2 linked regions of the Schizosaccharomyces pombe genome follow. The gene in region 1 interacts genetically with each later gene. Each region holds a gene or a part of one and is shown in the gene's direction. Other genes may lie near its edges.

Region 1 (4,780 bases):
GTCTTGCTTTATTAGAGCTTGAACTAAACGATAGATATTAAAAACAGACCGTTCATTTTTCCAAAGTTGTAGTAGAAGACTTGTGTACTTATGCTTTCCTCCTTTTTCATCCAATAATTGTACTATTGGCGGCTGTGATGGATAATAAGAGCGAACCGTTATACAAGCCGAGGTTAAAATTGTTTTGTCAAATGCTGGAGTACTCAAATAAATGCGGACCTCTTCTATTTTGTTTTCGTCTTGCGTATCTACTTCAATATTAATTGCTTGAAGTGTAAACGTGTCTTCACATTGTTTTCTAAACAATAATTCTAGTTCTTCAGCAAGTCCATTCTTCCAAAATCTAATCTATTTTTCAGGTTAAATTGGTAAAAAAACAAGCGGTACCTTTTCAATTGTATTCAAAATTCGTGAAGGGTGTTCATTGATTGCATGATCTGACATGGTAAAAAGAAACGAGGCGCACTTATGCAAGCACGTGATTAAATCTTATAGGATTTAAAGAAATCAAATAAAGTTAGCTGGTTTTCGAAAACCTATTAATTGCAAGCACCACTTGTGAAATTGATTTTGAACAGATGGTCGTTTTCTTTACGCATTTTATCGTTGTAATAAATAACGTCAATGCTGCATCTCTTTTTTAAATAAACTGTATAATATTACAATATATCGTTATATCAAGCGATAAAACAGGTAACGATACTCAAGATTATTTTCAATTGATGCCATATTAACATTAACGCCAAGTTTATTTTAAGTGCTACATACTCAATTTCTGAAATTGACGATCTGATAGTATATAATATTAGGATATGAATTTATAGACTGATAGGAGCAGTTATGAAAAATTCACAAAGTACCAATACGCTCAGATTTCTTATTCAATATTTTGGAAATGTGTCGTATCCATAAATATAAACTAAGGTAGCAACTATAATTGAGGATCATTGTTCTCACATACGTATTCCACTTCTCTTTTAACACCAGCAATACTACAATTGCAAGACTATTGAAAGGTTAATTACGGCAATAAACCGAGCAGTTTGCATTTTTATTGAAAGAATTATCTGATATTTGTTTATCAATAATGACAATTTGGAACGTAGCTGCATTGACAGGTAGGTTCTAGCACAAGTAATAGACTGGTATATAACCTTTATATACATTTACTTTTTGTTAAACAACCTATTTTACGTTATCTAACAATAAAAAAGGACTGCTCAGCGTAGGTTTAGGTGCATATGGATCTCACGGGTTGCAAAAACGTGTTCAGGATCCACATTTATTGAAGGTAGGATTTATGCATTTTTATTTCATGATTGTAACTATTTTAACATAAAATTATAGTCATGGTCCACTGCTTGTACTTACTTGATGTTCCATTCATTGGCAACCATGGCCGTTTCTTTGCATCCAGTTTACGGGAAATCTCGTTGGACGGGACCCCTGCTGATTACAGGAAGCTGCTTGTTTTCTGGGACAATTTATGGACTTTGTTTATTGCCTAAAGGACATAGTCTGCGACGAATTCTTGGGCCCTTGACACCAATTGGAGGACTAGTGATGCTTACAGGGTGGGCTACAATGCTAGTTTAAGAGAGCTTTAATTTAGATGCTTTTTGTTTTACCAGTACAGACGCAAGTATTAATGATGTCGTTTCTAAAATACTAGCAGATAAAGAATATGTTATGATTTTATTGGGTCCCAAGTAAGCGAACAAAAAAGAGAGAAAGGATATAAGGGGAATACAAGTATTTAAGATGAGTTAACGTGTTTACTTCAAAGTAATCAAATCCTTTTCCAACAAGTAATTGACGATTTTTTCAACACACTCTTCAATCGATTGAGTATGAGAAGAAACCACGATTTCAGGAGAAATGGGAGCCTCATAGGGAGCAGAAATTCCTGTAAATTCTAAAACCGGTTAGCCTTAATTTTATAGGGTCATCTATTTAAAAACATTGAGAAAATGGAATTTCCTGAGGGGAAAAAGTATCTTTAATGTGTAACAATTACCTACCTTTAATCTCACCAGCACGAGCACGCTTGTACAAACCCTTTGGATCACGCTGCTCGGCAACTTCCACTGGACATTCAACATAAACCTCAATAAAAGGAAGTCCATCTTTTTTATGAAATTCGCGTGCTTGATCACGATCCTTGCGATAAGGAGAAATGAAGGAAGTTACTGCAACTACACAGGCATCTGCGAAAAGCTTGGCAACATGACCTATGCGACGAATGTTTTCGTTACGATCTTGTTCACTAAATCCAAGATCACTGTTTAAGCCGAAACGAACATTATCACCATCCAAACGGTAAGTTGTAACTCCACGCTGAAGTAAATACTGTTCCAAAGCACAAGCGATTGTAGACTTTCCAGACGCAGATAATCCAGTCATCCAAATGGTCATACCAGGATGACCCACAAATTTGATACGTTCTTCTTTAGTGACGGAACCAGGGTGAAATGTAATGTTAGTAGCCATCGTAAACAAAAATGTGAAAATCCAATCTTCTAATTAATTGTTGGAAAAATCAAATGGTACGAATTTGAAAAATATTTTACAACTGTTACTGCACAAAATCTAACGAATTCAATTTGATGATTAACGCTATTAGTTACAATTACTAGGTCACAATTTGAAAGCATTCGGAACAGTCACAATCTTTTATTTTTTAGCAATTGCGCAATTACGCCTATCCGTTAGCGTCTCGTTAGGAGTCGTAAAGTCACCTCGGTAGGAATTAAGAATAACGTAACGAAAATTTCCCTTTAGCTTAAACCATGAGCGCTTAGTTCATTTAGTTGATTTGGCCTTTTTAAGTGCTGTTTCGGTTGTCTAAATAAATACAAATGATTATATAATCTTAGGACTAGTCAGGGAGTTTAAAATAGTATCTTTAAGTAGGGAAGACAGCAACATCTATTTACAGTAAATTTTTCCAATACTCCGTTCGTGGAATAGTAGGCATTATGTCAATTTAAGGAATATTACCAAAGCTGGTATCTTAAAATTACGTATTATACAGATGGCTTAACAGACTATTATCCGCTACATAGCGTTACTGAAAAAAGTTTTATTGGGATCATCTTTTGGGCTTCCAAACTTATCCTTCTCCATTTCTTTATCATGGCAAAAGATAAAAAAGACCATAAGCATAGTGGAAGCACCGAAGATGAGTATGATTCATATCTTCCTGCTTTAATGCCAATTGCTAAGCCTTTAGCTCCTAAAAAATTGAACAAAAAAATGATGAAGACTGTCAAGAAGGCTTCGAAGCAGAAACACATCCTTCGTGGGGTCAAAGAGGTTGTAAAGGCTGTTAGAAAAGGAGAGAAGGGTCTTGTAATTCTTGCTGGTGATATTTCTCCCATGGATGTTATATCTCATATTCCAGTATTATGTGAAGACAATAATGTCCCTTACTTATATACTGTTTCCAAAGAGTTGCTTGGTGAAGCATCAAACACCAAGAGACCTACTAGCTGTGTTATGATTGTTCCCGGTGGAAAAAAGAAGGACATGTCTAAAGTTGAGGAGTACAAGGAAAGCTACGAGGAAATTATAAAAGAAGTACCTGCTCTTGAAGTTTAATTGTTCAATATCTAAAAGATGCTTAGCCATTTAATGTAGATTATTATATACTATTAAAATTTGGTATTTATCCTGGGATTTAACTTTTGGTATATCATGTCTGTTTGCTTGATAGTAAGCGAAAAGAAGTTTTGCTTAATGGTCGGTTTTAAGGTTTCAAAAAATTTCCTTTTTAATCTAGTGTTTTATCATTCTTTCTTATGCCCTAGTATTTTATGGGTTTAGACTGGTTTGCGAGCAAACTAATCACTATACCTCCAAAACTTTGTTAGCAATAATATCGTATCATTTACCAACTTATATGAGAATGGTATATCGCTGTAACAGCGATGAAATATCAACTGATTTTTCCTCAAATTTCGTTTACGCTGATCGTTTCATTACGGATTTAGCCTGTGTTTATTTCTAACTAGTTGCGCAAAAAAGTTTTATTATTCGTTTAGGTTGCTATTTAGTATTCAGAGGCGGCGTGTTAGAACCAGTTTACAACTAACTTAAATTTCACCCAACGTCGTTCTTACCATTATAATGTTTACAAATATTATGCTTTCCAGTGCTATCCATAAATGATAGATTAGGGTAGCTTTAAAGGTCCGGCAATTATATGGTTATCTATCCGGATTTTGTTATCGGATTTAAATATATTTGCTAAAACAAATCGAATTTCAGATAAAAAAGTTGGGTTGTATTTGTATGAGCAAAAAGTATTCTGTATGTTTATCATAAATTGATGTGCATTTTTACTTACTTTGTAAGATAATGATTATTGTTGTTTATTTACTATAGTGTTGCTAAAAGTTAATGTCTTTTTTTTTTTAATAAAGAGAAAAGATTAAATGTCAACATAACGTTGTGTATAGTTTAGAATCCACTTTTGTCTTCATTTGTTTCGCACCCCACATATTTTCTTGTGCATTATCATCCCTTCTATTTACAAGGACCACCAACACCCAGGTACACAATTTAGAACTCAACCATTACGGGTTTGACGAATATAGACGAGATTCGCAATTACTTGTCTGATGGATTACCAAGATGATGGGCTTGGTGAAATGATTGAGTTTTTGGAGGGTATGCATGAAGTTTAACTCAAATATCTCGTAAAATTGATTAACATGTTAAATAGACAAGTTATACTACACATCATTGTCGCAACCACCTAAAGCCGAGTTATATCCTC
Region 2 (7,863 bases), 4.6 Mb from region 1:
GCCGGTCCTGGAAAAGCACCAGCACTTTCTGGACCAACCGAAAACAGTTGATTTCTCCAAAATAATCGAGAACCACCACCTGCAGCAACCGTCTGAATATCCAATTGAGGGGACTGAATGTATAGTCCGAATATATTGGCTTCGTATATATGCTCAAATTTACCATCGTATCTAGAAACATCAGTTGACGTGCCCCCCATATCAAAACCTATGGCTGGCGTTTTGTCATCAGCATGCAAAGATGATGTTTTCGCAAATCCAACCGTACCTGCAGCAGGACCGCTCATTATAGCACTAATAGCAGTAAAATTATCTATGTCAACTAGACCACCATCGCTTTTCATGAATTGAATAGTATTAGGCTTCACATTGTAAAAATTCTTCTTAAACGAATCAAGATAATACCTCAACGTAGAACTAAGATACGCGTCGATAATGGCGGAAACGGCCCTTGGAACTATTTTAACCATTGGTGTAAGTTTTGATGAGAGAGAAATATCTGTAAATCCTATACGTTTGGCAATTTTTTCAACTACCTCTTCATGAAGAGGATATGTATAAGAATGCATAAGACTGACAGAAATGGAGCGAAACCCTTCATTGTATAATTCCTTTAGATCTTGATATAACGCTTCTTCATCCAATTTCTTTTCCACTCGCAAAAATTCTCCTGTAATTCCTTGAACAATACCAGCTGTCTTTGAGAATTGGTTTTCTAAGACAACTCTCTCTTTTGCTTCTATGACACGTTGATATAATGGTGAAGGCCTTGATACTGTGAGGTCGAATAAGTCCGGGCGAGCTTGATTTCCGATTTCTACCAAATTTCGAAAACCTTCCGTGATTATGAAGGCGGTTTTTTCACCCTTACGTTCTAACAAAGCATTCGTCGCAACAGTTGTACCCATACGTATAGAGGATACTCTTGTCAAGTCTAAAGGGACTTTACGAGGTATTTCTTCGCCGGACGCATAACACAACACTCTTCTAATTCCTTCAGTTGGAGCATCGTCGTATAATTTAGGGTTTACAGAAAGCAACTTGAAAATCCCTTCTTGCTCCCTCCATCCAGATATCTTATAGTAAACATCGGTGAAGGTTCCACCCCTATCAATCGCAATTCGCACATCTTGTTTCATTATAAAAAAATTAAAAGGTTATTCTTAACTTAAAGAATGAATGAATAACTACAGCATGCTAATTGCGAACTTTTATACCTCTAGTCAACGTTCCAATCAGTCAAGATAAGTAAAACGAGCTCCTCCTTGACCGAGACATTGAACGTCCAAAAAATTATACCAAGATGGGGGATTCCATAGTCGTAAGGAATGATTCTTATCATTTAAAGATTTAGTGCTCTCCATTTAGATTTTTAACCGAAGCGATCAAACTAATAATTCGTGTATGTACATTTTTGCATTGTGGAATAAACTGCCCCAAGAAAAAGATTTACGAGTGCATCCCTCATGTGAGAGTTTGTAGTTAACTCTAATCAAAGCAAGAAATAATAAGTACAGTTCAATTAATCTAAAGAAACATGTGCACAAAGTACCTACTAAAGAACAGATAACAATCTTACAAACCATTTTACGAAATAAATTTCGCAAAAAAGATCAAAATGAATAATAATTCAAGCAAATTAAATTAAATTAACATCATTACCAATAAATTATTAATTTTTACTAGTAAAGAGTGTATTTTGACATTAATTTTACTGATTTCGCATATTTGGTTCTATCTACGATATCAATAGTACCAAGCAAGTAGATAGGGAGTCCTTGAATAGCCAAACAGCAGATCTTAAACATCATGAAATACTTAGGACTACAAGTGTTGAGATACTTATGATTGCGATAAATACAATTCTTTATCGATAATCAATTTAGGAACGGACAGGAAAGTTGCAAATTAGCAAATTTTTAAAGCTTTATTATAATAATTAATTGTCAAGATCTTTATTTTGCAAACTGTTAACAATGATACCCAATACATAAAATATGTAGGATTTCTGTAGTATACTTCCATATTGACCAGCTCAAAACTTTCTAATTAGACGCATGTTGAATATCAATTTAATGATTCATCGATAATTCAGATACTCTAATAATTGCATGACCATATCAGCAGGCTTCGATACTGCTCCTCCACTCCGCCGAACTCCACAAATGAATACGGAGCTCCGCCAACTTTCAGTCTGATAAGGAGGCAATCTTTGCTACACAATATTGTGATGATTTAATAATTTATGTATATATATGGATATCATTCTTGCCTAATTCATTAACTTGTGCTGTTTTTTATTTTTTGCTTTCTTTTTCTACCTACATATACATACACATAGATTTAATACACATTTTGGATTTAAAAAATGAGTGTCAAAATTCACATTGATCGAGGTGGTACTTTTACAGACGCAATCGCCACTTTTGCTGATGAATCTCGCCCTCCTATTGTCATCAAATTACTTTCAGAGGATCCTAGTAACTATAAGGACGCTTCTATCGAAGCTGTCCGACGCATTTTAGAGATTGTTCAAGGAAAATCGATCCCACGAACCGAAAAATTAGATACCAGTTGCATTAATCATTTACGGTGTGGTACTACAGTTGCTACCAATGCTTTATTGGAACGAAAAGGTGAACGATGCGCTTTTATAACGACTAAAGGATTTAAAGATGGTCTGTTAATTGGCAACCAATCTAGACCTAATATTTTCGAGTTGGGAATTCGAAGACCTGAAGTATTGTACTCTAAAGTTATCGAAGTTGACGAGCGTGTAACACTAGAAGATTATGTTGAAGACCCAATGAAAGTCAAAACCACAATTGACGGCTCTGACCCGTCACTAGTAGTTGGCCGTTCTGGTGAAGTCGTTCGTATTATGAAAAAGGTAGATTGCGATGCACTTCGCAAAGATTTGCAAGCATTGTACGATGAAGGATTTACCAGTATCGCCGTTTGCCTTGCCCACAGCTTTACATTTCCAGATCATGAACTTCTTGTTGGTAAAATTGCTGAAGAGGTTGGTTTCAGCAATATCAGTCTTTCAACTAAATTAATGCCGATGATTAAATATGTTCCTCGTGCTACTTCAGCTACCGCTGATGCTTACCTTTCTCCAGTTGTTAGAAGATACCTTGCCGGGTTTCAATCAGGATTCCTTCATGGTTTAAAGACAAAGGATAATTCAAAGGGTGTGCGTTGTGAGTTCATGCAGAGTGACGGTGGTTTGGTTGACGTTAATAAGTTTTCAGGCTTACATGCCATTCTCTCCGGTCCTGCTGGCGGTGTCGTAGGTTTTGCACTTACCTCATATGACGAGGACGTTAAAATTCCTGTCATCGGATTCGATATGGGAGGTACATCTACGGATGTTTCTCGGTATGGTGGTTCATATGAACATGTCTTTGAAACGACAACGGCAGGAGTTACTATTCAATCTCCTCAATTAGATATAAATACGGTAGCCGCTGGCGGTGGATCACGTCTTTTTTGGAAAAATGGCCTTTTTGTTGTTGGACCAGAAAGTGCTGGTGCACATCCTGGCCCAGTATGCTATCGCAAGGGAGGGTACTTGACTGTTACAGATGCAAATTTACTGTTAGGAAGACTTTTACCTGAGTCTTTCCCTAAAATTTTTGGTCCTAATGAGGATGAATCACTAGACGTCGAGTCGACGAGAAAGGAGTTTGAAAAATTGACTGCTGAGATCAATTCTGGCCTTGAGAAAGAACGTCAAATGACTGCCGATGAAGTTGCTTTTGGCTTCATTAAGATAGCGAACGAAACTATGGCTCGCCCAATTCGCGCCCTTACTGAAGCTAAAGGACACGATATCTCCATTCATCGTTTGACTTCTTTTGGTGGTGCTGGTGGACAACACTGTGCAGCTATTGCCAAATCTCTCGGTATTACCCAGGTTTTAGTTCACAAGTATAGTTCAATTCTTTCAGCTTATGGAATGGCACTAGCTGATGTCGTGTCTGAAGTTCAAGAGCCTTCCTCCTTTACTCTGGATGACTCAAATACTGAATCTATTAAGAAGCGTTTTGATAGCCTTAAAGAAGAAGCGAAAGCTAACCTTGAGGAGCAGGGATTTACCGAAAGCCAAATTAGCTATGAGTTATTTTTGAATTGTCGGTATCAAGGAACTGACAGCACTTTGATGATTAGCAAGCCTCTTGAGTCTTGGGATTTCAAGCAATCATTTTTTGATAAACATAAGCAGGAGTTCGGTTTTATTTTTGAAAATAAAGATATAATTATTGATGATATCAGAATTCGTGCTTCCGGAAAAAGTTTCCAGAGCAAAGAGCCCAGTGTAGATGCTCAATTAAAAGAATTGAAGTTCGAACCTGTTCAAAAGAGCCTAGCAACATGTGTCAAGGACATTTATTTCGAAGGTGGACGTGTCCCTTCTGAAGTTTATAGCCTAGATAACTTGCCTGTTGGAACAATAGTGAATGGCCCTTCTTTGATAGTCGACAAAACGCAAACCATTGTTGTTCCTCCCAAAGCTGTTGCTAGAATTTTGCATACACACGTTGTAATTGACATTTCTCATGGAAATGAATATACGGCAAACGATTCTCTCGCTAAAGCAAGTACAATTGATCCTATTTACCTTTCTGTATTTGGATCTCGGTTTATGGCTGTAGCTGAACAAATGGGAAGGGCTCTTCAGAAAACGAGTGTCTCCACTAATGTTAAAGAGCGTCTTGATTATTCGTGTGCACTATTCGATGCGAAAGGAAATCTTGTAGCTAACGCACCTCATATGCCGGTTCATCTAGGTTCTATGTCTACTTGTGTCCGCACACAAGCAAAAATTCACGAAGGGAAACTAAAACCTGGTGATGTTCTTGTTACCAATCATCCATCATATGGTGGTACTCATTTGCCTGATATCACTACTATTACTCCTCATTTCGAAGGGGACGAGATCATGTTTTACGTTGCTGCGCGTGCCCATCACGCTGACATCGGTGGTATTCTACCTGGTAGCATGCCTTCTTCTAGTAAAGAGCTTTCTGAAGAAGGAGCAACTATTAAGAGCGAAAAACTTGTGGTTGATGGAGTTTTTCAGGAAGAACGCATGATTGATTTACTCTACAATGAACCGGCAAAAGTGGAGGGTGGTTCAGGCAGTCGCTGTCTTCGCGATAACCTAAATGATTTGAAGGCTCAAGTTTCCGCAAACCAAAAGGGAATCAATTTAATTACATCTTTAATCAAGGAGTACGGAAAAAATTCTGTTTTACGTTATATGAAGGCAATTCAAGAAAATGCGGAAAGCGCCGTTAGACAATTATTGCTTGGAGTACGTGAAAGATTTTTAGGTGAGGATTTATACGCTGAGGATCATATGGACGATGGGTCAAAGATATGCTTACGCATCACTATTGATGAAGAAAACGGCGATGCCATATTTGATTTTACTGGTACAACTGAAGAAATCTATGGAAATATTAACGCCCCGGAGGCAGTAACTTATAGCGCCATCATTTATTGTTTACGTGTTTTGATATCTGAAAATATCCCACTTAATCAAGGATGTCTGCTTCCAATTAAAGTTATCATTCCTGATAACTGCTTTTTGAAACCCTCTGAAACAGCTGCTGTAGTAGGTGGAAATGTGCTAACGTCGCAAAGAATCACTGATACTATTCTCAAGGCATTCCAAGCATGTGCAGCTAGTCAGGGTGACACAAACAATTTGACATTTGGAATTGGCGGTAAAGATCCAGAGACCGGTGAAGTGAAACCAGGATTTGGATACTATGAGACTATTTGCGGTGGATCTGGTGCAATTGATGGATTAGACGGAACTTCTGGTGTTCATACTCATATGACTAACACCCGAATTACTGATTTGGAGGTACTTGAAAGAAGATACCCTGTCATTTTGAGAAAGTTTATCATTCGTGAAAATTCTGGCGGCGCAGGAAAGTACAAAGGTGGTGATGGTGTTATTCGCGATATTGAATTCAGAATTCCAGTTACCCTTTCCATACTTTCAGAGCGTCGTGCCTATCATCCATACGGTATGAAAGGAGGTAAAGATGCCGAATGCGGTAAAAACATTTGGATTCGAAAGGATATCTTACCTTCAGGAGAGCAACGAGTTCGACAAATCAACGTTGGCGGTAAAAACACATGCCATATGCAAGCTGGTGACCATATTGTTATTATGACACCTGGCGGTGGTGGATATGGACCCCCTTCTGAACGAGTAGATACTGTCAAGAAAGCTAATGGTGTCCAGCATTTCAGGGCTAATGGCACCATCTCACAATTACAGGAAATACAGCACACGAATTAGTTAGATAATTTATTAATGGTAATATAAATAGTTTGTCTTTTACATCTTAATTTCTTACTAATAACAAAGTTTTTAAAAATATTTGTATATAGTTGTCGAATATACTACAAGTGTTGGTGACAACAACAGGATAAAGTTCAATAATATATAATATTCTTGAATACTAAATCATTTGTAGAAAATGTATATAATTGTAATTAAAAAGCCGTATAGATTAAGATAGGATATATGAACGCGTTTCCAAAATTTGTGAAATAGTGAAATATAAAAATAAATGAGTAAATATTTAATGTAATAGGAAAAAAAAAACTGGAATGGACTGCTAAAGCATTAAGAACATAAAAATTAGGATGCATGCGAGGAATAGGATGAGCTTTCAACAACTCTAACAAAAAAGAGTAAAGTTGGGAAAAAAAGGGTAAAATCATCTGCGCTCGAAAAAAAAAGAAGCAATCCTACGAAGGCAATCACTTAAAAGAAAGCGAACTGGAACGTAAGAGAAACCTTTCATTTCAGCAATTCAATCTGATTGGAATGTTACATTTCCGAAAGCTCTCACAGATGGAGATTTAACATCCACAGGAAAGCAAGAAGAAGCAGTAACACCGGCAGTATCAAACTCAGTATCACCGTCTCTAAACCTTTCATCAGCATCGGGTTCCGGAGACGTTAAAGGCATTTGTAACGATTTCAAAACTACAGGTGGAAGTGGAAACCCATATGAATTCAGCTTTTGTTGGTAGTATTGAATATATGTGAAAATGTCGGGAGACTTATGGAGAATGAAGCGATTAAAGCTAATCGCAAGCACACACAACTGAGTGCGTGGAATATCAGTACACCTTTGGTGAAGAGCCTCGATGAATTGCTCCATGAGCGCACATTCCAAATCCTCGTCAACCTTCAAAGTAGTCATAAAAGCGTTATTTGGATTAAAGTTGGTTCCTTCGAAAGATTCTAACTATATATATTAATGTTTCGGAATAGGAAATTATCGTAAAAGACAAGATAATCCAGAGAAAAAAAATAAGTGATCGAATTATGAACGATCGATTGCAGTACAGATATTGAAAGGATTAATAGCTATTTGCCACTTAAAAGCAACAATGAAAGCAGGATAAAATGACTTTGAGACGTTGGTTCCAATCGGTTTTCTCACGCGAAGAGCCAGAAAAGAAAAATGAAGGAGGTAATTACTAAGTCTTGAACTTATATCAAAACCTGTAGTAAGTGTAAAGGAATAAAGATTTCAAGTTGCTAACACCTATCTGTAGAACCTAAAATCAGCTGGTTTGATACAATCTAGTTCCTTATCCTGAAGACGTAGGAATTGCAAGCTTTTTTATTTGCTAGATAACAGTGAATATCGATCTCACAAATGATAGAAATGGGTATTCGGATTCGTTAAACCAGTTTTACGCGTTGTTAAAAAATGCAAGAGAATAAAAGCTGTAAAACTAAATGAAACAAGTCAACAAAATGGAAGAACTTTTATATCTCTAATTTTTGAATGTTTAACTTCATCTACTTCCTAATTATCT

What was found.
Region 2: mutations in nhp2 (region 1) and SPOM_SPAC11D3.15 together harm fitness more than expected from each alone (negative genetic interaction), as found in Schizosaccharomyces pombe (one large-scale study listed by BioGRID).

Annotation. Positions count from the first base shown.
Region 1 is NC_003424.3:4,771,502-4,776,281, reverse strand, and holds nhp2 (box H/ACA snoRNP complex subunit Nhp2), read left to right. Parts: upstream 1-3,114; 5' UTR 3,115-3,135; coding exon 3,136-3,600; 3' UTR 3,601-4,280; downstream 4,281-4,780. Other genes in the region: sst6 (ESCRT I complex subunit Vps23), read right to left, coding at 1-348, 388-444; SPOM_SPAC1782.12C (uncharacterized protein), read left to right, coding at 1,088-1,118, 1,215-1,291, 1,348-1,596; met14 (adenylyl-sulfate kinase), read right to left, coding at 1,776-1,915, 2,022-2,490; Cdc14 family protein phosphatase Clp1, read left to right, coding at 4,623-4,671, 4,727-4,780. UniProt on the Schizosaccharomyces pombe protein: Non-catalytic component of the H/ACA small nucleolar ribonucleoprotein (H/ACA snoRNP), which catalyzes pseudouridylation of rRNA and is required for ribosome biogenesis.
Region 2 is NC_003424.3:133,963-141,825, forward strand, and holds SPOM_SPAC11D3.15 (ATP-hydrolizing 5-oxoprolinase), read left to right. Parts: upstream 1-2,282; 5' UTR 2,283-2,368; coding exon 2,369-6,322; 3' UTR 6,323-6,403; downstream 6,404-7,863. Other genes in the region: SPOM_SPAC11D3.14C (oxoprolinase), read right to left, coding at 1-1,139; SPOM_SPAC11D3.16C (uncharacterized protein), read right to left, coding at 6,843-7,238.